Tribolium castaneum: one gene and its partners. The protein of the gene in region 1 interacts with the protein of each later gene in a biochemical or structural test. Links are inferred from orthologs where the notes say so. Each region holds a gene or a part of one and is shown in the gene's direction. Other genes may lie near its edges.

The links.
Region 2: the proteins of Ubi-p63E (region 1) and proteasomal ubiquitin receptor ADRM1 form a complex in vitro, tested with the Homo sapiens proteins (10 studies listed by BioGRID and IntAct, with this or other methods). The link is inferred for Tribolium castaneum from reciprocal best matches to the Homo sapiens genes UBC and ADRM1.
Region 3: the proteins of Ubi-p63E (region 1) and park form a complex in vitro, tested with the Homo sapiens proteins (16 studies listed by BioGRID, with this or other methods). The link is inferred for Tribolium castaneum from reciprocal best matches to the Homo sapiens genes UBC and PRKN.
Region 4: the proteins of Ubi-p63E (region 1) and ATPase WRNIP1 form a complex in vitro, tested with the Homo sapiens proteins (6 studies listed by BioGRID). The link is inferred for Tribolium castaneum from reciprocal best matches to the Homo sapiens genes UBC and WRNIP1.
Region 5: the proteins of Ubi-p63E (region 1) and E3 ubiquitin-protein ligase AMFR form a complex in vitro, tested with the Homo sapiens proteins (10 studies listed by BioGRID, with this or other methods). The link is inferred for Tribolium castaneum from reciprocal best matches to the Homo sapiens genes UBC and AMFR.
Region 6: the proteins of Ubi-p63E (region 1) and PolI form a complex in vitro, tested with the Homo sapiens proteins (6 studies listed by BioGRID and IntAct, with this or other methods). The link is inferred for Tribolium castaneum from reciprocal best matches to the Homo sapiens genes UBC and POLI.
Region 7: the proteins of Ubi-p63E (region 1) and UBX domain-containing protein 1 form a complex in vitro, tested with the Homo sapiens proteins (9 studies listed by BioGRID, with this or other methods). The link is inferred for Tribolium castaneum from reciprocal best matches to the Homo sapiens genes UBC and UBXN1.

Annotation. Positions count from the first base shown.
Region 1 is NC_087396.1:13,943,037-13,947,106, forward strand, and holds Ubi-p63E (polyubiquitin), read left to right. Parts: upstream 1-1,270; 5' UTR 1,271-1,410; intron 1,411-1,524; coding exon 1,525-3,582; 3' UTR 3,583-3,672; downstream 3,673-4,070.
Region 2 is NC_087396.1:16,648,286-16,652,164, reverse strand, and holds proteasomal ubiquitin receptor ADRM1, read left to right. Parts: upstream 1-1,494; 5' UTR 1,495-1,652; intron 1,653-1,887; 5' UTR 1,888-1,904; coding exon 1,905-2,010; intron 2,011-2,059; coding exon 2,060-2,286; intron 2,287-2,334; coding exon 2,335-2,540; intron 2,541-2,592; coding exon 2,593-2,864; intron 2,865-2,910; coding exon 2,911-3,062; intron 3,063-3,109; coding exon 3,110-3,334; 3' UTR 3,335-3,368; downstream 3,369-3,879. Other genes in the region: Ogg1 (N-glycosylase/DNA lyase), read right to left, coding at 3,369-3,427, 3,473-3,879. UniProt on the Homo sapiens protein: Component of the 26S proteasome, a multiprotein complex involved in the ATP-dependent degradation of ubiquitinated proteins.
Region 3 is NC_087398.1:11,672,335-11,676,324, reverse strand, and holds the start of park (E3 ubiquitin-protein ligase parkin), read left to right. Parts: upstream 1-1,190; coding exon 1,191-1,451; intron 1,452-1,500; coding exon 1,501-1,866; intron 1,867-3,990. Other genes in the region: alpha-1,3/1,6-mannosyltransferase ALG2, read left to right, coding at 1-656; protein FAM32A, read right to left, coding at 666-788, 843-1,052. UniProt on the Homo sapiens protein: Functions within a multiprotein E3 ubiquitin ligase complex, catalyzing the covalent attachment of ubiquitin moieties onto substrate proteins. Substrates include SYT11 and VDAC1.
Region 4 is NC_087398.1:8,311,265-8,315,138, reverse strand, and holds ATPase WRNIP1, read left to right. Parts: upstream 1-1,470; 5' UTR 1,471-1,583; intron 1,584-1,595; exon of another isoform or gene 1,596-1,640; 5' UTR 1,641-1,678; coding exon 1,679-2,843; intron 2,844-2,884; coding exon 2,885-3,130; intron 3,131-3,181; coding exon 3,182-3,255; 3' UTR 3,256-3,374; downstream 3,375-3,874. Other genes in the region: rt (protein O-mannosyltransferase 1), read right to left, coding at 1-788, 839-1,122; Top1 (DNA topoisomerase I, mitochondrial), read right to left, coding at 3,612-3,874. UniProt on the Homo sapiens protein: Functions as a modulator of initiation or reinitiation events during DNA polymerase delta-mediated DNA synthesis. In the presence of ATP, stimulation of DNA polymerase delta-mediated DNA synthesis is decreased.
Region 5 is NC_087396.1:17,624,924-17,627,786, forward strand, and holds the end of E3 ubiquitin-protein ligase AMFR, read left to right. Parts: intron 1-1,226; coding exon 1,227-1,386; 3' UTR 1,387-2,363; downstream 2,364-2,863. Other genes in the region: Cdk5 (cyclin-dependent-like kinase 5), read right to left, coding at 2,776-2,863. UniProt on the Homo sapiens protein: E3 ubiquitin-protein ligase that mediates the polyubiquitination of lysine and cysteine residues on target proteins, such as CD3D, CYP3A4, CFTR, INSIG1, SOAT2/ACAT2 and APOB for proteasomal degradation.
Region 6 is NC_087396.1:11,985,413-11,989,517, reverse strand, and holds PolI (DNA polymerase iota), read left to right. Parts: upstream 1-1,305; 5' UTR 1,306-1,970; coding exon 1,971-3,584; 3' UTR 3,585-3,626; downstream 3,627-4,105. Other genes in the region: protein mono-ADP-ribosyltransferase PARP11, read left to right, coding at 1-534. UniProt on the Homo sapiens protein: Error-prone DNA polymerase specifically involved in DNA repair. Plays an important role in translesion synthesis, where the normal high-fidelity DNA polymerases cannot proceed and DNA synthesis stalls. Favors Hoogsteen base-pairing in the active site.
Region 7 is NC_087395.1:21,641,260-21,645,485, forward strand, and holds UBX domain-containing protein 1, read left to right. Parts: upstream 1-1,426; 5' UTR 1,427-1,758; coding exon 1,759-1,811; intron 1,812-1,860; coding exon 1,861-2,696; intron 2,697-3,529; coding exon 3,530-3,570; 3' UTR 3,571-3,817; downstream 3,818-4,226.

The DNA of each region.
Region 1 (4,070 bases):
TTAAACGAATTTAGCTATAATAGGGCGAAGAATACAACGAATCGTGTAAATAATTTTAGGTGATCACCAATGTCAACATGTTTACCAAAAGCGGTTATTACCGTTTTGGAACTATAAAGTTTATCACGTCTTATCCTGTATTTTTGTAGTTGGACTACGTTACGTTTAGCAACTGTTAAAGCCGAATTGTATATTTTAGGTAACATGAAATGTATTTGTTGACTGCTTAGTTTTATAATGCGGACGAAAGATTTATGTTGAAGTAATAGAATTACGCTTTGTTAAAGTATCATAATTTTGAATTGTTGATATAGGAAGTATGAAATTATGGCGTATAATCAATCTGATGCAATATTTTTGTTGTTGCTGTAATTTCGGTAGCATGTTCTTGTAGTTTTAATTTTATGGACGCTGTGTAGTGTAAAATGGCCCATTATTTTTGTAATTAATTTTCATATTTTAGGGGTTTGTTTGCCACAATAATTGCCTCTTTATGTGATATTTGTTTCCATTTTATAGACACAAATGTGCCTTATCTATTACAATATGAAGAATAAATAAGTTGTAATGAATTACTGTACTTTTCTTTGTCCCAAATGACCCTTTTACATAATTTATTATTGTCGTCCGTATTTACATGATAAACAAGACTCTAGAACAACAACGATAAGGATAATTCTTTGTAAACAAATAAATTCCTTTCAAAATTGAACAGACGAATTTGGCATTTCATGCAGGTATTAATGGGTGGTTTATTTGAAACGTTTGAAAAGCATAAATTGGAAAATAAATTAAAATTTGAAAAATAAAAAAGGGCGTAATTCCAAAACAAAGAAAACAGCTGATCGATAAAGCTGACGACGTAGATAAAAATCAGCTGACATGTCACCAACAACTACTGGCCAAAGTCCCTAGAATCTTGTTCAATTAAAAGCAATTTTCTTAATACCTGAAACATTGTTTTGACCACGATTAACCGAATTGGCATTAAACTGATAGCAACTAAAGTTTATGTATAAATTTTTGATTAAAGAGGACGTTTTTTGGATAATTAGTCGAAAATTCTAGAAAGTGTACTTTGGGTTCGAGATTAAAAAGGAGTGGGGGAAGCCGTCCGTATAAAAGCGGTTCCACAGCTGCATTCGCCATATTGTCTGAGCAAAAGTGGTGAAATACAAAAGCGATTTAATTAAAATTGTGAATTTTCCTAGCCGTAAAGGTATGTATTTTAATTTCATCATGAATTATTCGATTGCAAGAAGCGCAGAAAGTCGCAATTTTGTGAAATTTTTCGCATGACGCAATAACATTTGTTTGAAAAAACATCGCCCTAGTGACGTGTTTTTTTGTTTAAATTTTAACAAAATTAATTTTGTAAATTTGTCGATCTGTTCAAAACCAAACCACATAGTGAGTAATGTGTTTTTTCGGTTTATTCAGTGCGTAATTCTTTGTTCAACGAAATCCAATATGGCGGCTTGGAAATTTGCTTTGTCACAAAAGTAATTTTTTGTGTCGTTGCAGATGCAGATCTTCGTGAAGACTTTGACTGGTAAAACCATCACCTTGGAGGTCGAGCCCTCCGATACCATCGAAAACGTCAAAGCTAAGATCCAGGACAAGGAAGGTATCCCCCCAGACCAGCAACGTTTGATCTTCGCTGGCAAACAACTCGAAGACGGACGCACTTTGTCTGACTACAACATCCAGAAGGAATCGACGCTCCACTTGGTTTTGAGATTGAGGGGCGGTATGCAAATCTTCGTTAAGACACTCACTGGCAAGACCATCACTCTGGAAGTTGAGCCCTCTGATACGATCGAGAACGTCAAAGCCAAGATCCAGGACAAGGAGGGCATCCCTCCAGATCAACAGCGTTTGATTTTCGCTGGTAAACAACTCGAAGACGGACGCACCTTGTCCGATTACAACATCCAGAAGGAATCCACCCTTCACTTGGTTTTGCGTCTGAGGGGAGGCATGCAGATCTTCGTCAAGACCTTGACTGGGAAAACCATTACTTTGGAAGTCGAACCTTCCGACACGATTGAAAACGTCAAGGCTAAGATTCAGGATAAGGAAGGGATCCCACCAGACCAACAAAGATTGATCTTTGCCGGGAAACAACTAGAAGATGGGCGTACCCTCTCAGATTACAACATCCAGAAGGAATCCACCCTTCACTTGGTATTGCGTTTGAGAGGTGGCATGCAAATTTTCGTCAAAACCCTGACTGGCAAGACCATCACCTTGGAGGTCGAACCTTCTGATACCATTGAGAATGTTAAGGCCAAGATCCAAGACAAGGAAGGTATCCCACCAGACCAACAAAGATTGATCTTCGCTGGAAAACAACTTGAAGACGGCCGTACTCTTTCCGACTACAATATCCAAAAAGAATCCACCCTCCACTTGGTGTTGCGTCTCCGAGGTGGCATGCAAATTTTCGTGAAGACTTTGACTGGAAAAACGATCACTCTTGAAGTCGAACCTTCGGACACAATCGAAAACGTGAAGGCGAAAATTCAGGACAAAGAGGGGATTCCCCCAGATCAGCAAAGATTGATTTTCGCCGGCAAACAGTTGGAGGATGGTCGCACACTCTCCGACTACAACATCCAGAAAGAGTCGACCCTCCACTTGGTGTTGCGTCTCCGTGGTGGCATGCAAATCTTCGTAAAGACTTTGACTGGGAAGACGATCACTTTGGAAGTAGAACCATCGGACACTATCGAAAACGTTAAGGCGAAAATTCAGGACAAAGAGGGGATTCCCCCAGATCAGCAGAGGTTGATCTTCGCCGGCAAACAGCTCGAAGATGGCCGAACTCTCTCCGACTACAACATTCAAAAAGAATCAACACTCCACTTAGTATTGCGGCTCCGAGGTGGCATGCAAATTTTCGTTAAAACTCTGACTGGCAAAACCATCACCCTGGAAGTCGAACCTTCTGATACAATTGAGAACGTCAAGGCTAAGATTCAAGACAAAGAGGGTATCCCACCAGACCAACAAAGATTGATCTTTGCTGGAAAACAACTAGAAGACGGCCGTACTCTTTCCGATTACAATATCCAGAAGGAATCCACTCTCCACTTGGTGTTGCGTCTCCGAGGTGGCATGCAAATTTTCGTGAAGACCTTGACGGGAAAGACGATCACTTTGGAAGTAGAACCCTCAGACACAATTGAGAATGTTAAAGCTAAAATCCAGGATAAAGAAGGCATTCCTCCAGATCAGCAGAGGTTGATCTTTGCTGGCAAACAACTCGAAGATGGGCGCACCCTGTCGGACTATAATATTCAAAAAGAATCAACCCTACATTTAGTATTGCGTCTGCGAGGAGGTATGCAAATTTTCGTGAAGACGTTGACTGGGAAAACAATTACGTTGGAAGTTGAGCCATCGGACACGATTGAAAATGTGAAGGCCAAAATTCAAGATAAGGAAGGTATTCCCCCAGACCAGCAAAGATTGATCTTTGCGGGAAAACAGTTGGAAGATGGTCGCACACTTTCGGACTACAATATCCAAAAGGAATCCACTCTTCATCTAGTCTTACGTCTTCGCGGAGGACAGTAATTTTCTGGAATTTCTATGCTTAATATTTTTTTTACTTTTTGTTACAAGTTTCCTGAAATTACGAATAGAGAATAAAGATTGATGGCTTAATTCTTGTGTTTTATTTTAGTACTCCATGTGAATTAATTCAAAAAAATGCTTATCAAAATTTTAAAACATTTGGCTTTACGGGGTTGGTTTGTCTTTGGATTTGGAGCTTAGACGAGATTGTAGGCCCGCGAGAATGTACGCTCACGAGAATTCTCCAAAAATCGCCAACACACAAATTGAAATTAAAAAAAGATTTGAGGTATATTTCCAACAAGGCAACAAATTCTTAAAAAAATAAGTTATTCATATGACTGCACATATTTTGGAGTAATTCGTTAAGCTAAATACAGTGTTAAAAATAAAGACTTCACTTTCATTGATATTCGGAGAAACCGGACTTGGCAGCCGATCGAATTTGACGTTAGGCATAAAAATAAAAAACTTAAAGACAAAAAAAA
Region 2 (3,879 bases), about 2.7 Mb from region 1:
AAATATATTAGACGAGTAGCTAGTTCCTGTTTATGTCGGTTTAATTTTATTAATATTTATTTCTTTGTTATTACTAGTGATAAGTCGGAATAATCGCGCAATTACTATTTTTGTGATAATTTTCACAGTGATGCTAATAGGCATAGATTAATAACAATGAAATAATCACTGATAGTCTCACAATATTTTGAACTGTCTAGTTTAACCTTTTTTTTAATTGATATTTGAGAAATGCAAATCGCAAACTACCCAAGTCAATGAATGTATTTTATTTTGTTAAATATTACAATATCCATGTTAGAATATTTTATTAACTAACTTTCATAATGTTGTTAATTTAATAACTAAATGTAAATTATTAATATATTCTACTTATTTAATAGTTGTTTTTATTACTATTTCCCGTATTAAGACTACAGAGGACTATAACTTAGAGGACAAAATGAGATACAAAACCGCCTGATTTTCTGAACCCAGAAAAATAGTACGGTAGAGTAAAAATGTAAAACTGACGGCGTATCGAGCATTACAACGTCTCGGCGCCAAATCATTTTAAATTAATTTAAATTTGACCATTGCACTAATTACTTGAAAAAAATGCAGAAATGTTGAGCCTTGCACTGACTGAGAAAGACTGACGACTAAAATTTACATAATAAACATAAGACAAAAATTATTGAAAATGTGCTGTTGGTCCCGTATTTTTCAAGACGATGCGAATACAGTTGAAGAAGTAAGAAAAATGTTCAAAAGAAATTTGTAGAGAACTAAATTTCCTTTAACAGTCCGCGAGATCATATGTCTATCGTCAATGGTTTAGGCCCCAAAGACGCTGAAGCAACGAATTCGTCTTATTTTACCAGTGGTCAAGTTACGGAAAGTTAATTTATACCTAAACCGTAGAAGATATATATCTAATAAATATGTGACGGTGCAAAAAGGATTTTCGCTTAGAATTATCAATTTGCGTTCCACCTTATAATTTTACGTTTGCTGCGAATACGATTACAGAAACAAAAAAAGTGTAAGAAACTATAAAAAAATTAAATTTTCTATAAAAAAGTCCACAACACCATAATTCTATCTTCAACAGTTTAGGTATAAATAAACTTTCCAATACTTGACCACCGACAAAATGAAGCAAATTTTGGGGCCTAAATAGTTGGACACAGGCATATGGTCTCGCGGACTTTTTTGTAGAAAATTTAATTCTCTACAACTTCCTTCCTAACATTTTTTGTATCTGTAACCGTATTTGCAGCCTTTTGAAATAAATGAGGCAGAGTGCAAATTGGCAAAAGTTAATTTATTTTTTTTACGAATGGTTTACGATAAAAGTTTTGCATTTTGGTTGTCTTACTATTAAGATTTAATGCTCCATCTACCTGTAATTTTTGTTTGCTACGCGAAAAATTATAGGTGTTATTTTAATCAGGGACGTTGTGGCTGTAGGTTTTTCCCCGATCAGTTTCAAACCTTCAAAATGTTGGCGCCTTATGGAAGTGTCACAAGTTCCAACCCATCCAAACTATCCCTAAGGTTACCACCTCCTTTGTGGATTTTTCCAAGTGAAACAAATCATTAGGGACACTAATACACAACTCCCAACTTTGTGAAATAACATTATTTCAAGTACATTTTAATTACAAAACGTAAGTATATCTTTTAAACATTAAGTTAGAAATATATTTAATTTTTTACTAGAAAATACTGATATTTTAAATTTGTTGCTATATTACGTTAATTACGAATTGATATAAAATTTGGTGATAATTTATATATCATTTGCATCTGCTTATTCTATTTTATTTTCAAAAATTTGTATTAATTTAAAGCACAAAGACATTTTGTCTTGTCATCATTCCCTAACCTCACTTTACTGTCTAGAACAAAACATTGCAAAAATGCCTGCTGGAGGTGCATTATTCGGCAGTGCCGCTACGGGCCCCGGTTCAACTGGCGGTAACAAACACTTGGTTGAAGTACGGGCGGGCAAAATGAGTTTGAAAGGTAATTATCAAAACTCTTCAGTAAGCTCCCATAATCAAATTTTTGTTAGGTCGCATGGTGTACCCTGACAAACGCAAGGGTCTTCTCTACGTGTACCAAAGCGAGGACTCTTTGATGCACTTCTGTTGGCAAGATCGCACCAGCGGTATTGTTGAGGACGACCTCATAATCTTCCCTGATGATTGCGAATACATTAAAGTGCCCCAGTGCACCACTGGAAGAGTCTATTTGTTGAAATTTAAATCATCCAATCGCAAATTTTTCTTCTGGTTGCAAGTAGGGCGCCCCTTTTCTTAATTAATTAAATCACCAATTAAACCATAGGAGCCCCGCACTGATAAAGACGAAGACAACTGCAAGCGCATAAACGAGTTGTTGAACAACCCCTCAAGCGCGGTCCAGTCGTCGCAGTCCCCGGATCAGGACTTGCAGTCTCTGTTTAATAACATGTCGCAATCCCAACTCATGCAATTATTTGGAGGCGGCGTGGGCCAGATGGGGGGGCTGTCGAGTCTCTTGGGGACCATCAGGTAACGTATTTATAATTACGCTCAAACGCATAGTAAAAACTATGACACTTAGGGGCCCCAACAGCGGAAGTGCTCGTACTAACACTACCCCCGCTATAACTCACCGTACCACAGTCCCAAGCACCCCAACCACCAACACCACCACCACAGCCGTCAGCCAATCGCCGGCCACTCCGCAGACAACTACAGCCCCCACGACAGCCCCGGGCGCCCCCCGAGCCAACCGGTCGTCGGACTCACCATGCGGGCATAAAATTCAGTTATCAGACTTGCAGAATTTCCTGCAGGGGATTTCCCCAATTCAAGCTTCGTCTCAACAATCTGGTAATCAAAACAATTTTGAAGAAAAAGTGTAATAAAATATTTTTAGTTGATTTATCAACTGCTTTGACTGCTGAAGGACTGTCCGGGATTTTAAACAATCCGGGGGCTATTCAGGCCCTGCAAAATCATTTGCCGGCCGTTGAGGGTGACCCCCAAGACGCCTTGCGAGCAACATTGAATTCGCCCCAGTTCCAACAAGTGATAAACAAAAATTAATAAAATTTTGTTCTAATTATTTTTTCTAGGCCGTTTCCCAGTTTTCTAGTGCTTTAGAGTCGGGACAGTTGGGGCCGGTTGTGTCTCAATTGGCGGTTAATCCGGAGGCGGTGGCAGCGGCGGCGCAAGGAAACATGCAAGACTTTATGAAAGCCTTGGAAAAAACTGAAGGAAACTCGTCAAAGGAAGAGGATAAGGAGAAGAAAGGCGAGAAAAAAGAAGATAAGGATGATGATCACATGCAAACTGATTAACTAAATGTATTAAACTGAGTTTATTGAATAAAATTTAAAATGAGATTAGTTTTCGTCGGTTTGGAATTTTTTCAAGTCGGCGCAAAAAAGGACCTAAAAATTTGACTGCATTTTTTCACATAACTATTGACCACTTACTTACAGTGTGTGCCCAACCTGCCAGAGGGCCGTACAGCTCCCGAAAGTGGTCCCCAATGTCTTTATAAATCGTCGCTGTGACTTTTTTACGTTTCGGTAAATGTGGCATATAAAATTTTCTCGCAATTTGGTAAACATGCGTGTCGATAGGTATTGTCCCCAAGTGCCCCAAAGACATCAAGCAAATGCAGTCCGCCACCTTAGGGCCAATCCCAGTTAAAGTCATTAATTTACTCTTTGATTCCTCATAGGGCAGTTTTTTCAAATCGTCAAGCCATTTTTCGCCACCTTCCTGCATTATTATTTTCGCTGATTGATTTATGTACTTAGCCCTGTATCCAAACCCCTCCTTTTTTAAAACCGACTCGACCTTATCATCGGCTAAAGAATCAATTTTGGGGAATGAA
Region 3 (3,990 bases), on another chromosome or scaffold:
AAGCCGTCAAAAACACCAAAAACCCCAGACCAATCCACCAAATAATCCCAGAAATACCCCAAAACGCCGCCTGTGTCTTCCTCTCCATCAACCGCTTCCATCCCGCCAAGAAACTGGACTTGGCCATCAATGCGATGGAAATTTTGCAAAGAATCACCTCGGAAAATGAACGTAAAGGCATTTTCTTGGTTATGGCCGGGGGCTACGACCCCCAATCGTCCATAAACGCCAGTTATTTCACCGACTTGGAGAAACTCGTCGCTGAGAAGGGGCTCCAAGACAAGATTATTTTCCTCAAGTCGCCCCCCGATGACGTCAAGACGGAACTTCTGATGGCGTGTGACTGCCTCGTTTACACGCCCGTGAAGGAGCACTTCGGCATTGTCCCCCTCGAGGCAATGACGGTGGCTAAGCCCGTCATTGCGTGCAACAGTGGGGGCCCCCGAGAGACAGTCGACCACGGAAACACGGGCTATTTATGCGAACCGACCCCCGACAGTTTAGCGCAATTCATGTACAGGATATTCAAGTCGGATAACAAGGCAATGGGGCTCAAGGGGCGCAAAGTGTTGCAGGAGAAATTCTCAAATGAGAGTTTTGCAAGGAATTTGAAGAAAATCCTTGATCACACTAGTGTAAATAAGAAGTTTATTTAAATAAATATTTTACTTAGTCCAAGAGACCTTAGGTATGTCAAAGTGTTCCGTGAGCCCGTCCAAGTGTTGGTTGAATTTTTCTACTCTTTCTTTGTGTGTCATTGACGCTTTTTCCAAGATGCGTTGAGTTTGCTGCAAATTGTAACAATCAGGCAACAAATTTAACACGAAATGTGATTTATTTACCATTTTTTCTTGCTGTTTTAAGAACGCAAGTTCGGCTTTTGTTTTTTGCCTCGCAGGCTTTGATTCCGGTGTCTCACTTTCGACAATTTTGCTCACTTGCTCTAACAACTTCTTATCTTTCTTCTTCTTTTTCTTTTTAATGCTGTTATCACCTTTTAATTGCAATTTTCCCTTGCAAACTTGTGCGTATGGGTCGTCACTTTGCCCCATCTTGTTTGTTTTGACGTTTCTGGAATTTTTCACACAACAACCAACGTAACGGATCGACAATCCCCAAGAATGAGGTTATGAAATTTCCTCACAAAAAATGTTTTTTTCTAAAAATAAGCCCGGCCGCGGTTACCACAGATGATGAGTTTTATTATCAACGTAATTAAAGATTTGTTGCATAAGATGTTACAATTTCTGTCATTTAGTAGAAAAACGCTGAGCAATAATTTGAGTATTTACATAAAAACCAACACAGGGAATACGCTTTCGGTCGATTTGGACCCCACCTGGGACATAAAAGAGGTGAAAGAGTTCGTTGCGCCCCAATTGGGACTGAAACCAGGCGAGGTAAAGATTATTTTCGCTGGAAAAGAGCTGGGAGACAACATTAGTATTTCTGTGAGTTTTGCCCTCAATACCACTAGTCGTAACCAGTTAGTCATTCTAGGAATGTGATTTGGGCCAACAAAGCACCCTCCACGCTATCAAAATCACCAAAAAGCCCAACCCTCCCACTTTAAACAATGCCGTAATTGAGGAAAGTGACGAGGGCAAACCTCTGTGTGAGACCTTATCAGATTTGAGTTTTTCAAACGATGATTACGAGGAAGGGCCCACCGAGCAACGCAAAGTCCACTTTTTTGTCTATTGCCCCACGTGTAAAGCCCTCAAAAATGGGAAATTGCGAGTTCGGTGCCACTTTTGCAAATCGGGGGCTTTCACGGTGCACTCAGACCCCCAAAACTGGAATGATGTGCTGCAGCCAAAGCAGATAACCGGCCTTTGTGAGAATAGCCCCGAATTGTGCGCCAACGTACGTTTTTTAATTATTTAATTGAAATTAGTCAAAAACACTCCACACTAAAAATAGTACTGGACAAAATTTAATTTTCCTTTAAAATGTTTATAGTCAAAATATTTAAAGTTAAAAATATTTACGCTTACTAAGGAGCATTGCGAAAATTTTTAAAATGTTTGCAATCGTAATGTCCGCTCACCTAACTAGAAGCAGCAGATTCATTAACACCATAAGAGCGAGCTAAACCGAAATTCTGGTACAGGGAAATCAATGTTAATTTTAAAAACTAAAAGTCGCTGAAGACAATTAAAAACAATATACGCCAAAATATTTTCAGATACTTTTTTAAATTTCTTTTTCTATCATAAAGTTAAAATTTTCTACAGTTACCAAATTTATTGAATGTAAATCTAAATTTGAAATTTGGGTTACTACTGAGGGTCTCTATAACATTTTTAGAAAATGTGTTCCAGCTATAAATCAGGTATCTAGCCCAGTCAAGTTAGACCAGACAAGAATTGGGCGGTTGGTGGCAAAAATTCCTAGTGAGTTGGAATTTTTTAAACGCGTTCTTTAGATAGACAGATATTAAAAATCCCAGAGGATGGAGGCTGAGCTCGAGATGGGGGAGAGGGTTAAGTGTGTCATTTTTCGTTTTATTTCTTATACCACGGAAACAATCATTGTCGGTTTTCACCTTCTTACAAAAATTAAAGCTGATGAAATTTCCTACAAAAATTGGTCCTATGCACTTTTGTTATAGGACTACCCGTAAGCGAGTTATAGGACTGAAAAGAAATAATTATTTAAAAAAAATCTGCTTCAAAGTAGAATGTCTTGTGACTTGAAAAAATCCAAATTTTACAACTGTTTCAAATTGAAATGATGAAATCTCTAGTATTGTGTAAAAATTGTTATAATAAAAATTTTTTAAACGTCCTTGACTGATTGATTTTAAAAAAATTCACGACGATAAGACCAAGTTCCTTAAAAAGTTTAGTTAAAAGTTAATGTAATAAACATCATCAGGCTTTTTACTCGTTCAAATTCTTGGAAGTAAACATTAAAAGATGGAATTAACAATGACTTAATGACAACAACACATGCACACACCACCGCCTTTTGACACCAGTTGGTGTCTTAAAGTGAACAAGACAGCGTTTTAAAAATGGTGGATGCGCCGGGAGAAATTATCAAATTAAACATTTCCAAATACTACTTTGAATAACTTTAGTCAAAAATGTACAAGTGTACAGAAAATATAAGAAAAACAAGTGTAAAACAATTTACTATTAACAAACTGCAAATTAAAAAAATGGTGGATGCGCCGGAAAAATTAATCAATATTCAAAAAAAATAAAAATAGATGTTTGTTGTTATTTTCTGACAAATGTATACATGTTTAAAATACTTTTTTATCAAACATTAACGCAAGTAGAGCAAACTGACATGAAATAAGGCAGTGGTATTTTGACAATTTATTGAAATAACGTTATGAAACGTAAGTTTTATGGGAATTTTTGAATGTAATCATTTCTGGACAAAGACATGACTCTAGAGGCAAAACGGCTCATTTATCAGCGTTTATCAGCAAAACATTTCTATCTTAGTGACCTCTATAACACCGTAAAGTTTGGCAACATCATTTTGAACGCTGTATAAGGAAGAGAAAATTATGTAAAAATAAGTAAGAATCGCTCCATAATCAAAACGACACACAAGAATAATAGTTTAGATTTTTTATTAGATTACAATATTAATAATAAATTATAAACAAAGACAATTGGATTACCATAACTTTTCAATTCTCCTTTTTTACCTGCTTTTTTTTCTATCTTTGTACCTGTCTTAAATCATTTCTTTTAATTAAGTGTCAATAGAAATTACTAGTAGGTAGCACATAAGTAGGTAAATTTAATTTTTAATTCTTTTAATATTACCTTTTTTGAGATAAAAATGTATTCAACGGGAATCTACTAAAGCGCTACAATAATATTTTGTTTGTGCGTGAGATGCGTACAAAAGCAAAGATAGACAGTTTCGTTTGGTAACAGAAAATACTTGATCGATTTAACGACCTTCGCTAGAAATATTTTAGTTTAGCTTGCTCTTAAAACACAAATTAAGAACGACTATGAT
Region 4 (3,874 bases), on another chromosome or scaffold:
TAATCTGCGACCCATGTGCCACCAAGAGGGGCTGTCCCTTGGTGATGGAAGCCAAGCCACCCTCCAAGGAGGCTTGAAACGCACTGGTCATAATACTATCATGTGGTCCCGCTTTGTACAATACTTTCAAATGAATGTAAAAAACAGCCAAGTAGATTAAAAATGAAACTGAAGCGGCAACGGCCGTTTGGGCCACAAACCGCACCAAAAGGGCCCTATCTGTGAGGGTGGAGGAAGACAACATTTTCCAAAAGTCGCGTCCGAGGATGGCAACCCCCAAACAAAACGAGTAAAACCCGACGTACTTCACGGACAAAGCGCACGTCAGTGAAGTAAACCCCAACCCCAGCCACAAAAACCAAAAAATGCAATAGGGGTTGGAGTAGTATTGGCGAAATTTCAAAATGCAAAAAATGCCAAATAAGGCGAAAAAGAGTAGCATTGACTCCATCAAAATGAAACGGCTTTGGGTCAACAAAGCGTTATCTAGTAAAAGTAATACTGCCGCCAGCAACGAAGTCCATTGCGTCAACCCCAGCTCAAGCATCAAGTGATAAGAGGTGGGTATTATCAAACTGCCGAAAAACGCAGGGACGAAACGTAGCGCAAATAACGGAATTGTGTCGGGGTATGGGCTCCCGATTTTATCGAATTTGAATTTTCCGTCGAAACCGGCCAAGTAGGCCACCGCTGCGATCAACTGCTTGCCCAGTGGGGGGTGAGAATCAAAGAAAAACGTGTTTTTCATGTAGAGAGAGACGTACTTTCCATAATGTAACTCATCAAATCTACAATAAAATTATTAGGCAAGTGCTAAAAAATGGGTTGATTCGCTTACACAATATTTTTCGGTTCTTCCAGCCTGTACATTCGAGTCAGTAAACCACACAAAAATAACCCCACTGAGATTAAATCAATTTCGAAGTTGATTCGCAGGAACTTCGCCCTTTTAACCGAGTATGAGACCTCTTTTTCGTCATTGTTTAAGTAGGAAGGAGTGTTGCCGTTTCGTTTCTTACATTTTTCGACTTGAATTTCCTCTTTTTGTGCGCTTTTTTTCTCATTGTCGCTGTATTGATCAATCAACTTATCTTTATGTTTCCTGTTGCGTAAATTTTCCATTTATTTCAAAGAAGCAGCAAAGGCACACACATTTTTGGAAAATATGTCATTAAGGCAGGTGAAACATCCACGTAGCACTTCGAGGTCATTAGCACCGATCTTCTGAGATTCTCTTAGGTTAGGTCTGTTTCATGTTTATTTTTATAATTCCAAATCAAGGGCCTAATAATTGTTTGCAAGGGATCATTTTGAGTTGACCTTATTTATGTTTTAAGGACGATTATCTTGACTTTAACCAAAAAGGTGGGAAAATGAGAAAGCGTATTTAAGGTAGTTGGTGCCCAAATTCACTTTCTTAAGATTTCTTTTAAATTTTAACCGATTATTGTTTAAAGAATTCCGCATCGATGGTGCAAAAATGAAAAAGATTGATCGTCTAGTTTCGGAGATATTGAATTTTAAAAATTGAATTTTTGAATCTTTTTTTTCTGAAGATTGGTAGTACATGGTCATGGTCTGTGGTAGTGGTGGTAGTACATTTAAAACCAACGCGCGTATTTTCGAATGTTCGTTTGTAGGTTAAGTTTCCCCCGCTTTGTTCGCAAAAAACCCAACGATGGACAAAGATAACGAACCCGTTGGTAACTGCCCTATTTGCGACAAGCCCTTTTCGTTAAGCTTGATCGAAAGTCACGTTAACAAATGTATCTTCCTGAACTCGGCGGACGCTGAAGACATGCCGAAACGCAAACGGTCCCCCTCGCCAATTCTCCCCCAGAACACTACCAAACCAAAGACAACCCAAAAAATGGATTTAGTTTCACCATCCAAGAAACCAAAAACCTCGTCTTCAACAAGCACCACCAAAGAGAACCCCCTGACCTTTACAACCCCCTTAGCCAAGCAGCTCCAACCCAAGTGCCTGGACGACTTCATGGGCCAAAGCCACGTCCTGGGCGAAAACACCGTGCTGAGGACCCTACTGGAGAAAGGAGACATTCCCAACATGGTCCTGTGGGGGCCCCCCGGCTGCGGCAAAACGTCCCTCTCGGGGGTGATCCAAGGCATATGTAAGAGCAACCCCACGAAATTAAAATTCGTGTCGTTATGTGCGGCCACTGCGGGCGTTAAAGACGTGCAAAATATAGTCTCGGCAGCGAAGCTGCAGCAGAAATTTGGGTGCCGCACTGTTTTATTCATGGATGAGATACACAGGTTTAATAAAAAGCAGCAGGACATTTTCCTGTTGCATGTGGAGAAAGGGGACATTATTTTAGTGGGGGCCACCACTGAAAACCCGTCGTTTACTGTAAATTCGGCACTTTTGAGCCGCTGTCGTGTGATTGTCTTGCAAAAGTTGGACCCCGATTGCTTGTATCAAATTTTGGAACGGGGGGCTCGGAATTTCAACGTGGAAGTTGTAGATAAGGGGGCAAGGAGTAAAGGATTTGCGGTGCAAGCAGACGCGCTTAAGTGGTTGGCTGATATAAGCGATGGGGACGCCAGGATTGCCCTGGGGAACCTACAACTAGTTCTCCAATACAATGAGGATAAAAATAAAGTTGTTACGATCGAGGATATTAAGGAAAAAATCAAGAAATCTCATTTGTTGTATGATCGCAAAGGGGAAGAACACTATAATGTTATTTCAGCAATGCACAAGTCAATCAGGGGCTCAGACCCCAATGCGGCCCTTTACTGGACCACGAGAATGATAGTCAGTGGTGAAGACCCTCTCTACATTGCTCGCAGAATGGTCAGGGCTGCTAGTGAAGATATTGGTAATTTTTTTGTATCATGTTTATTTTAATTTCTGGTTCAGGTAATGCAGACCCTAGAGCCCTACAACTGGCAGTCAGTACAATGCAAGGGTGTCAATTGTTAGGGATGCCCGAATGTGACGTACTTTTGGCCCAGTGTGCAATTTATTTAGCCAGAGCCCCTAAGTCAAGAGAGGCCGATTCGGCTTTAGCTAGAGCAAAACAGCTCATTAAAAGTTGTGAAGGGTTGCAACCCTCTGTTCCTATGCATTTGAGAAACGCTCCAACAAGATTAATGAAAGATTTGGGTCTGCTCTTAGTACTAAAAGCGTAACCAATTTTTTAAACTACTGTTTTAGGGTATGGAAAACTTGAGGGTGATGAACGGTATTACATGCCTCCAGAACTCAAAAACGTGGATTTTTTCAAGTAACTTCGCCACCAAATGTTTTTTACGTTCTTTATTTATCAAATCTGTAATATACAGACTCCTACAATCACTGTTATTGTAACAGGAATATAATAACTAAAATGGATTGTTCAAAATATAAATATTTTTACATTAACTAAAACCCTTACAAGGTCGCCTAAAGTAATCCAGATTTAAAAAAAAATACATGAGTTGTTCCTTGATAAAACAATCATTTAAAAAAATGCACCACTTCCATCAACGTTTTCAATTTATTCACAATAAATTAATAGTTAAAACTTCACTATTACTTACAACTTAACATTATTACACACGGAACAGCACAGGGGTGCATTGAATGAATGTAAAATTTCACTAAATTAAAAGACGTAATCTGGACCTGCCATATCGATAGCCCAACGAAACTTGTCTCTTTGCGTCTTATTATAGATTTTTTCGATTGGGACACCGTACTTTTTACACCAAGCGACACTGATACGAGGGTCCAAATAATTCAGTTTGGAAGTACCCAAAGCAATGGTTTTATTTTCATCTCGGTCAGTTTCCTGGATTTCCAATTTCGTCAACTGTTCCTTCAAGCGCTGCAACATTTTCTTCTTTTTATCATAGACGGTTTTCTCTT
Region 5 (2,863 bases), about 3.7 Mb from region 1:
TCAAAAGCTTGACAATTTCGGACTGTTTTTTCTTAACAGCGTGCGTAAGAGGAAATTCTCCGTTTTCACCGCAAAGATTAACATCAGCGCCTTTTTCAAGCATGAATTTTGTCATTTTAAAGTTACAGTTGTCTATAGCTTCAAACAGGCCTGAATGGAGGGTGAACCGAGCGTGACTTTTTAATAAGAGTTCAATCATTTCCGTGTTTTCGTTGTATACAGCGTGAGCTAAGGGAGTGTAGCCGTTTCTGTCCGCTTGACAAGTGTTTGCTCCATTTTCTACCAAGTATTTGGCGTGTTTTAAGTTTCCTTTGGTGATACATTTAATCAAAGGTGTGTCGCCATGACAGCAAAGGGCGTTAAGATCAGCACCATTGGACAACAGAAGTTTGATGATTTCCAAATTTCCATGAACAACAGCGTGCGTTAATACTGTTTCGCCTTTGCGTTTACTTCTTATGTTTAAATCTTCAAGGAAATATTTCACTGATTCTGTGTCTTGAGCAGATATTGCCTCAAACATCGTGTACGGGGACTGTAACAAGAAATGCTCCTTAAAAGGCAACTGCCTCTAATAATAAAAATCTTAATGCAAGTTTGCAGTAATTTGCTATACTTATTACATTATATAAAAATTTTTGAAAGATCAAGACAAATGATTGTTGTTTACTTGCTTGGTTGCTTAATTGAAGAGAGTTAAAACGAAATAAAATACAGATTTGACAACTTTTGTGATACAAGCTTATAGCATTCCAATTGTTTTAAGGTTTTATAGAGGGTTTTTTGTACAGAAGTTAACCGCCTCACAATGGGTTTATTACCAGACCCGTGCCACCAACTCAAAATTTGCATTTATTATTAAGGTTTTCTCTGTTTTCAAACAGTTCCAGTGCCCCTCATTATTAGAGTCTAATTATTTTACTGGGGGCCATATAACCCTTATTCGACTAGGAATACAATACTTAATTTGTTACTTACACCATCAGAATTTTCCGCTTTTTTATTCATTCTTGCAAATCTGTTTTTAACAGTTTTCTTACAAGTAACTACACGTTATAGCCACACGGCATACACTTAAGTAAAAAATCAAGTAGAAACACCTGTGACGCAAAAAATATCAAAATCATAGCCTTCTTGATGCATGGAGACAAAATTATTAATCTTGACAGAAGTGTTTTACTGGTTGCATAGCCAATATAGAAATATTGAAGATTGTGCTTTTTCAGTGAAGATACGAGCAGTTTGGGGAGCAGATTTTCGAAGTCTTCGTCGGAGCGCGAAAAGATTCTCCACAGACGCAAAGAGAATTTGATTCAGAGCGCCAGAAAACGCTACATCGAGAAACAAAAAGCCGCCGCTGCTGCAAAAGTGGAGCTACAAAGTTGAAGTATTTATGAAGATATTTTTTAGGGGAGAAGTCGTCTGACAAAGTTGTCCCAGATGTAACAAATTGTTAAAGTGTACATTGAAAATATCTGCAGTTAAAACACTGCGCTATATTTAGATATTAATAATAAATGTCTAGATAACATTATGTAAAAATTTGAATTATCTTGCAGAATTGTATTTGTTTTATTTTCGAACGCAAGGCTCAAGGGATGTGGATCTAAACTAAAAATGATAAAACGGGAACGTGTTTTAAATACCGATTTATTAAAGACAAATCATTTCGTAATGGCAGTTTAGGAATATCTAAGTTGTTATGGCGTTTGTAAGTTTGTATGAAATTCATGTTATAAATTATTAAGTAGGTTTAAGATATTTATTAGTCTGAAATTGAATTGACGTCGATTAGTCATTTTCCGAGTGATAAATTTGCAATTTGTTGTTTTATTTGAGAATGTTTATGTTCTTTATTTTTAGATGAAGTAAATAACTGTCTTTTTAAACGAACTAATGTTCCTTAATCAAAGTTTAATAAAACTTAGTCACCACTTAGCGGTGTTACATCGTTAGAGCTAGTCTCACCAATCGGATCTGGTGAACCTCGCCCTGGATGAAATATTTTTAAAGGCTTTGGTCAGATTGCACTTGAATTTTAATTAAGTTTGTAGTGTACATTGTGATAAAAGACTGACTCTTGGTATTTCCGTGTGATACTTTCACGTTTTTGTGTTAGGTTTTAGATTCGTGCTTTATTTTGCTATGTTTTAATGTTTGTTTTGTTTACTTACACGCGATTTTATTACAGTGTTAAAACGTCCGGCCTGAATTTTTGTGTATAATTAAAATGCTCAGACCCGAGGGAATCCTCGTAGGTCGAACATGTATTTCATATTGTTATGCAGTGCAAAGTGCATGTTCTCTTTATTAAACATAGAACTGTCTAGTTATATTTCGATATAGGAAATACGTAATTGCCATGCAAACATATTGTGTGCCAGATATCTAAGGGCCAAAGTATATCAGTTACTTATTTCGTCGTACTTACGTGTCCTGTCAATCTCCTAATCTTTGTTATTGTGCTTAGTATTGCTGTAATAAATTATTAAAAAAACGCATTTTATCTGCACCTCTCCAATTTTTCCCGCAAAATACGCAAGGGTTCGTAAATAATGTAATTCAAATGAGTTGTTTATTCCTACAATTATTTCAATATAAAAATGGTTTACATCACGAAAAAATCCAATGGTAATGAAAAATAGTCACCTCAGTTTCAGTACGTTTATTGAAAGTGAGATGGCTATGTTTACACCGAATTATAATCTCCAAATAAACATAATAAAAAAATTGGTTATGACTAGAGAATGGACGTTTCAAAATTAATAAAAAAATTTAGCATCGGTCATTTTTAATTGCTGGATTTAAATCACTGAAATAAGCGTGCGCCATAGCGTCGTCTGCGGACATCCTTCCCATGGGG
Region 6 (4,105 bases), about 2.0 Mb from region 1:
TTCGACTGGAGGCTCTTTGGGAGTAACAGGGGCCACAAATTTGGAAAAGGGGTGAATTTCTCCCCAAGCGCCAAATACGCAAGCAACTACTCGGACCCCCACAGTTACCACAAAATTATGATCGTTGCCAAAGTGCTGATAGGCAACGTCTGCCAAGGGGACCAAGACATGTCGCTGCCGCCTCCAGGCTATGACACAAGCCAGAAGGACCAAAGAGCGAGCGTTATCGTAAAGTATGAGGATAATGAATTCTACCCATATTACATTCTCCATTACCATTTGCGTGAAAAACACAGAAACAACAATCATTATCGTTATGATTGTAACTACATAAATCGTTATGATCGTTACCATGTGGAGAGAAGACGTTATAACACTCATTACAACTATTACCGGGATCGTTATGGCCCTGGTTATGGTAACTATCGCTACGACAACCATCGCTATGACAACTATCGTTATGACGACTATCGTTATCACAGAAATGATCACTATGGTGATCGTTATGATGGTGCTAAAACCAGGCATTTTTAAGTTTTTTCTGATGTTTGTTAACTTCGTTCTAGTAATATAACCAAAGCAATAGTTTTAATGTTGAAACTTATTTATGTTCCAAAATACGCAGCAGTATTATTGCAAGCATTCCAGTTTCAATTGCAATTTGTTTATTGTGATAAACGAAATAATGCTGTGAAGTAGTTTGATAAGAATAAAATTATTTACTTTGAAAATGTGACACTTACGTTGCTTTTATAAATTTAGTTATAGGCTCAGTAACATTTATCGAAAATTGTAAGTAGTTTTTGCTTGTCTTTGTTGCTTTTTGTATACACTTTTGATTTTATGTCCACGTTTAATTCCTATTAAAATTTTTGGATGAAGGCCTGTTTTATTTTTAATCGTTATAGTCCAGTTTATGGTACATTTAATTATAATTTGTTGTTTTCTATGATATTTAATTTAACCGCTATTAAGTATTAGTCATCAAGAAGTTCATGACCAGGGCGACCAACATTGAAGTGTGATAAAGTAATAAAATACCCGTTGCCCCTGGTCCTAGTACCCGTTTTCAAACATCATTTGCTAAATACCGGAAGGGAGCTTACTTTCTGAGTGAAAATTAAGCCAATTTCTTTAAAAAAATTGAAATTAACTGTGATCTTTTACTGATTGGGTTGGCAGCATTGCAATTTTATATGCGTCTGCAACAATAACCCCTGTGTCTGTGTCCCTGTTTTTTGATTGTGAAACAACGAACAACAGGTCCAATGCCCATTTTCAAAGGTAAATTTGCGTAAATTTGGGCCCCCAAGCCCAAAAGGCCCGCTACAAACCCCAATCTCAAAGTAGATAAGCTGGGGTCAAAGATTGTGTGATGCCAAAATTTGCACCCGAAAGATTATGAGTACCAGCAAATTGAGAATTTAATTACTAACGAGTCAATGTTGACTCTATTTGCCGTTATAACTTCGATTTTCGCTTATTTGGTACCAATAAGGGCCACAGGTATGGCCAAGGTGTGAGCTTCCCAAACGCAAAATATGCCTCGTGTTCTACCGACGATATTTACCATAATGTGATGATTATGGCCAATGTGTTAGTTGCTAATGTTTGTGATGGTGGTGAAAATATGCACTTGCCTCCGCTTGGGTTCGACCCGTGCCAAAAGCCTGGCGGAGTTGTGATCGTCAAGTACGAGGATAACGAGTTTTATCCTGCCTATAATTTATACTATCACATTGGTAAAAACTACGATGGAGATGACTGTTGTGAAATAAAACTTTTCTTAATTGTTGAAATTGTTCAGAAGTTTTTATTTGCTAAGTTTGGGATTGGTAGCCTTGTAATTTTTGAATAAGCCGCCTAATTGGTGCATTGTGATTGGCCAAGTCATCTCAAATGCCAAATCAGTAGAAATAAACATAACCTCACTAAAGTTGCAAGAGTTCTTTTATCAGTATTTAAAAACAATGTCTTTTGAGATGGACCATTCCCGTACTATAATTCACATCGATTTGGACTGTTTTTACGCGCAAGTGGAAATGAACAAAAACCCCAGCCTCCGAACGGTCCCGCTAGGAATACAGCAGAAAAACATTGTCGTCACTAGCAATTACACAGCCCGTGAATTTGGCATAAAAAAGTGCATGTTAATCCCCGAGGCGAAAAAACTGTGCCCTAGCCTCGTGCTAGTCAACGGCGAGGATTTACACGACTATCGCCAGACCTCCTACAAAGTAACCAATCTGTTGCAAAAGTACACCCCTCTGGTGGAACGCCTAGGTCTTGATGAGAATTATCTGGACGTGACGACGCTAATAAACGAGAAATTGAACCAAAAAAGTGATCTCAAGCTTGTGGGAAATGTGTTTGGAGACACAAGTGATAAGTGTGAGTGTGGCTGCACGGAGCGCCTGATCATTGCCACAACAGTGGCTCAGGAAATCCGCGACGTTATTAAATCGGAACTCAACCTCACGTCCTGTGCAGGAATCGCCCATAACAAACTTTTAGCAAAAATTGCAGGAGCGCGCCACAAACCAAACCAACAAACTGTTGTTTTCCCAAATAGTGCGTTAGAATTGATTCTTAGCCTAAACGCACCGAACGATATCCCGGGAATTGGCAGAGCGTTGTTTGAACAATTAAAATGCATAGGGGTTGAAACAATTGAGGAGCTACAAAATGTTGATCTCAAGAGACTTGAAACCGTTTTAGGGCAAGATAAAGCTAAGTTAGTTCATGAGTTAAGTTTGGGTATCGATAAAAGTGGGGTCAAGCCGACGGGGAAGCCCCAAAGCATTGGTTTAGAAGACAGTTGTAGGTCAATTTCTGTAGAAACCGAAGTGAAAATAAAATTAGAACAGTTGTTAAACCGTCTCTTGCTTCTGGTGGAAGAGGATGGGCGTGTCCCCAAAACCATAAAACTAACAGTCCGGAAGTTCAACAAAGACAACAAGATGAGCCACCGAGAGACGCGCCAATGCAACGTCAATCCCTCGATTTTCTCCTCAAACCAACCAAACAAAGAAGCCAAAATCATGACCACGATCATGCACCTTTTCAACCGAATAATCGACGTCAAAAAACCCTACCACATCACATTACTTGGCCTCTCTTTCACGAAGTTCCAGGAGCCCCCGAAAAACACGCTCGCTTCGTTCCTGCGCAAGGACCTTGAAGTCCAGTCAGTGCTGAGTATAGAGAACCAGAACGGTGTCGAAGACGCCGAAAGTCCCGTCCCTTCAACCTCGAAGTTGGCACCAACGGAGGGGGAATCACCCACACCCTCACCGAAAAAACTAAAGTTGACAAATCTCGTGTCGAAGAAGCGCTGTTTTGAGGACTATTACGAAGACTGCGAGAGTCCCTCAAAGTTGAAGGTTGCGGATTTGTGCTTGGATTCGGTGTCGTGCCCCCCTGATGCCGACAAGGAGGTGTTCAAGGAGCTGCCGAAGGAGGTGCAAAAGGAGCTGTGGGAGGATTACAAGAGGAGGAGGGCCAGTGAGATGAATTTTTGCAGCAGTCAAGTGAAGAAAACCAAGCCCAACACGTTGCTTAATTATTTTATCCGGAATAACTGATGGTTTTGTAGATTTTTTTCATTAAATATGTTTTAATAAAAATTGGTTTTTTCTTCCACCCAGTCATTCCTAAATTCCAGATTGTATATTTTCGCGTGGTGGTAGGATGTTAAAAATACACAATTTTTAAAATTATCTGTATTTTATTATTATAAAAAATTCAGTTTTATAATAAGTCATCAATAAAAAATAATCTTCAACAGATTTATATTGGTTTAAAATAATCCGTAATCCGCTTGTTGTTTTTCAATTGCCTGATTGTTTTCGAGTCGTAAATTGAAGCCTTTTGGTTGAAACGTGAGTAAATGCCAGCGCCTGTTTGCTTATCAGTTTTGTATCTGATGACTTCACCTTGAGGCTTTATGCCTGACGTTTCAAAAAAGTCAAGAACACTAATTACATCGTCAAGGTCGGTGTAGTCCTTAGTGTAAAATTATTACAGCGTGAAGAGGTTCAGTATCTGCAGATGTTGAAACTTTTGCGTCCCAAAGATCTCCAATTTTTACAGCTTCTTTTATTTT
Region 7 (4,226 bases), on another chromosome or scaffold:
CCTCGCCTCCTGCTCCCGCTCCCCAACTGGACCGTGCCGCTGCTCGCTGTCGACTGAAGCGCTCTCGCCGCCTGCGCCGCACACCTAACCTCGTGACACGTCACGGACGTGACGTCACACAAGCTTAAAACAGTTCATCACCAGAAATATTCAGTGGCAAAATCCGTCAAATTTAAAAACATTCATACACAGAATTATGCAAAATAGAACAGTATTGATCTAGAAAAAGTCATTACACGAAATGTATTTGTCTAGAAAATCATTAACACCCAAATCAAAAACGTAACAGAGGGCGCTGTTAAAGGTAGAAATGTAAAGTCCCTAGATTTATCGAAATGGTTTCCTAAATATTCAGATTTTTAATGGCAGTGGTCTGAAATTATAAAATAATCGTAGTTAATGGAAAAATAAAGACGCATGTTTTTATTTAAACAGAAACTGGCGACGTGAAATTTTCTGCCCTTGCAGAGGATATTTAGGGTAGGAATTTCTACCTTGCATTAAGAATTTCAATGCTACTGCCAAATAGGGACAAAAGTCTCCAGAAAATTTAGCTCTAGAAAAAGTAGGGTTAGGATTGTTGTGCTCACTTCTGAAATGTTAAGTTTTCACTTTAGTGGACTATTTTGTGTGTCTTTCTGCTCTTTTAGAGCGTTATTAATTCTTATTGAATATGTAGGGGCAGATCAATCTACCTTGAATCAAAAACGACAACTTCAGTGTTATTCATAAAAATGTAAATTTTAATAATTGCAAGTCCAAGTTGCCAGAAGGTTGGTTGGTTGAATGACTTTGGTGCAAAGAACGAATGTTGACAAATTAGAGATGACGAGAAAAACACGAATAACGAATGACTGTTTGTTCAATTAGGTACTTTATTGTAAAATTATTAAAAGCACATTGAAAAGCCTACCTTTTGGAACAATATACTTAAATGTATGAGCAGTTGTTAATCTTAATTGCAGTTTTGTGGATTCACTCAAGTATTTCACACACTTCAACAATTATTGATTAGGCAATTGTTTTAATAACACTTTGTTGTCAAAAGTAAAATTTCTTTAATTTTATATCAACTTTTACATTACAAACAAAAACATTTGATAATTACGAAAACTCACAACCAAAAGCAACGCTAGTATTTACCACCACATACTTTTAGATTGACTCGCTCTAATGTAAATACACGCAAAATTGCTAAATATTCATTAAATAAGAAATTACGAAAATTTCGTTACTGTTTTCGGCAAGAACGACATGTCGTCACCTGAGGGCGTCTAGATAATTTTATTCCCGAATTGATGCACGTTTCTGGTAATGAATTTTCTAGATAAATACTGTCATAGGCAGCATCCAGTGCCTAAATAAATAATGTTCTGTTTTGAATGATTCTGTGAATGAATGTTTCTCGGTTTGTGCGATTCTGCCAGTGAATGTTTCTAGGTATGTGCTTTTCTGTTGATGCCAAGTTCTAGACGTAAATTTTCCTAGATCCGAACGCGTCCCCAAAATTAACCACATTTTAGGAAAATATCGCGTAAACTCATTGTTTTTGATCAAAAACGTTGAGGACACGTTGCGAAACCGTCCGAAATACAAGTTTAGTGTTGTTTGTGCGTTTATCAGCTGATTGCATTTTTGCCGGTGTTGTCACATCAGTATCGTTGAAATACGCATTGCATGGTGTCGTTTTACGCGAAAAAGTCGGTTTTTCGACCAGTTGTTTAGTCAAATTCGTAGTGCAAAGCCCCTTATTAAAAAATGTCGGGTACTGTGGACACCTTGGTCGAGATGGGCTTCAGCAAAGCACGAGCGTAAGCCAACACGTCATTGCGGTTCAAATTACCATTAAAATGCTTGCAGTGAGTTAGCAGTTTCCAAAACCGGGACCGAAGACATCCAGGTTGCCATGGACTGGCTGCTGTCCCACGAGGAAGAGCTGGAGGACATGCCGGAGCCCCCGCAAGCCGCCGACGCCTCCGCCCCCGAAGCGCAGCCCAGTCCCGAGGGCCAAGTCGTCAGGTCCTTCAAATGTGACGACTGCGGCAAGCTGTTCAAGTCGCAGGACGAGGTGGAGTTTCACGCCACAAAGTCGGGCCACGAGCACTTCTCGGAGTCGACGGAGGAGAAGAAACCGCTCACTGAGGAAGAAAAGAAGGAACAACTGGCGAAAATCGAAGCCAAGCTCAAACAGAGGCGCATGGAGCGCGAAGCGCGCGAGAAACAGGAGGCCCTGGAGAAGGAACGCAGTCGGATCAAGTCGGGAAAGGAGCTGCTGGAGGCCAAGAAAAAACACGACGAGATCGAGATGAAGAAGCTTGTGGAGCAGCGAAAGCGGGAGAAGGAGGAGGAAAGGCTGGCCAGACAGCGTGTGAAAGAACAAATCGAACAGGACAAGTTGGCTCGGAAAGCGAAATTTTCGGGGCAACCGCTGGAGGAAGCCCCACAAGCTGCTACGCCGGCGCCCCAACCGGCGGCCCCCAAGCCGGCGGCCGGTTACTCGGAGGTTATGCTGCAGATCAGGCTCACGAATGGGTCGTCGCTTGTGCAGAAGTTCGGGGCCAAGGAGCCCCTGAGCGCTGTGAGGCTGTATGTGGAAATGAACCGAAAGGACGGGGAAGGGCCCTTTAGCCTTATGACGAATTATCCAAAGAAGGTTTTCGGGCCTGAAGATTACGATGTTCCTTTAGAAAGTCTAGGTAATTGCAAAACTCCGAAGGACTAAGAAATTTCGAGTACTTTCGGCTCCGAATTATTTTAAATTCAAAACATTCACCAGAACAATGATTTTGTCGAAAATAAACCAAAAAACTACCTAATTTTTTGAGGGTTTAAACAAGTTTGTGACAGATCTTGTATACAGTCACGGAATTATTTGCGAATTTTTGTTTAAAACAGGCTAGCGAATTTTGCTAAACAAGACCTAAAAATCACCAAAATGCTTGGCGCCTCAAAATGTTTTGCAATAGTTTACTGTGAATTTGTATATATTTTGTAAAACTTCGTTAAAAATAAGCGTAGAAATAATCAAATTACCTCGATAATTGTGTATTTTTTGCATTAGTCGGGGCTTTAAACACGTTTTTAAACTTACCGCCCGAAAAATTACTGTAATGAATAGAAAATATATCGTTTTTCTAGTGTTTAGGGGCTTTTGAGATAAAAAAGTTCACTAAATTGGGTCGCAAATGACAACATACTTCGTTTTCCCAAAGATAAAAAAGTCAACCATTTAGGGTCGAATATTTGACCAATTTTTTTTTTTTCATTTTTCGAGCATTTAGCCGGTTTTTGACTTAAAAGCCGCCTTTATTCTTCATGAATTTAGCGCCTCTTTTCACTGTAATTTAATATCTACGACTTTGTTCTTGTATTTTGCTCCTTTTGTACCAGAGATCACAAACTGGCAAAATTTTTGTTGTTTTTAGTGCTCTAATTTTTGTATTCGCTTTTGCGACGAAAACGCCTCCTAATATTTTAGTCCTCCGTTATAACCAATAAAATTTCCAAAAAATACAAGAATGGGTTTCAGGTTTGGGTCCAAGGGCCACACTCATCGTTTCAAAATCGTAATTAGGTCAAATGCTGCACAAACCTTATCTACTCTACCATCGTACGATATTAAAATTGCTTAAATAACGCTGGAACAATAGCTGGGATGTTCTTAAGTAACTAGGTGTAAGTATCTACAAAACTATACAAATTTATGTTGGAATATTTTTTAAAATATACATCATTTTGTAAGCCAGTAGCTGCTGTATAAAAATATGCAGCTCGTTGTGTGTGAAATCTTGAGCAGTAAATAAATTTTTCATATTTCCTTGCCGAGTCGCTCCCTAAGAAACGGTAAATAAAACAACCAACCATCGACCACATTTTATTTTCAATTATTACAATTAATGCTCTCCTGTTCAGACTTAAATCAAAACAAATGAATTTCTACAACTTACCACGTAATTACAAAGACCGGTTTTATGCAAATTAACGAGTGAACTGAAAACCATGACAATTATTCCTAAAATCTAGGCATGTTTCATTTCCCCCCACATTCGTTTTATTTGTGTTCTTAATTTAATAGTTACGTCATTACGAACAATTGATGATTCTTAAAAAAATAAAACTGACTGCAAGAACTCTACTCACGATAAAATTAAACATTACGTAAGTAGAGTTCCTGCAATTTCACGCCTTATTTTGATGCAGGGACTAGGCGGAGTTGTGCAATTGTT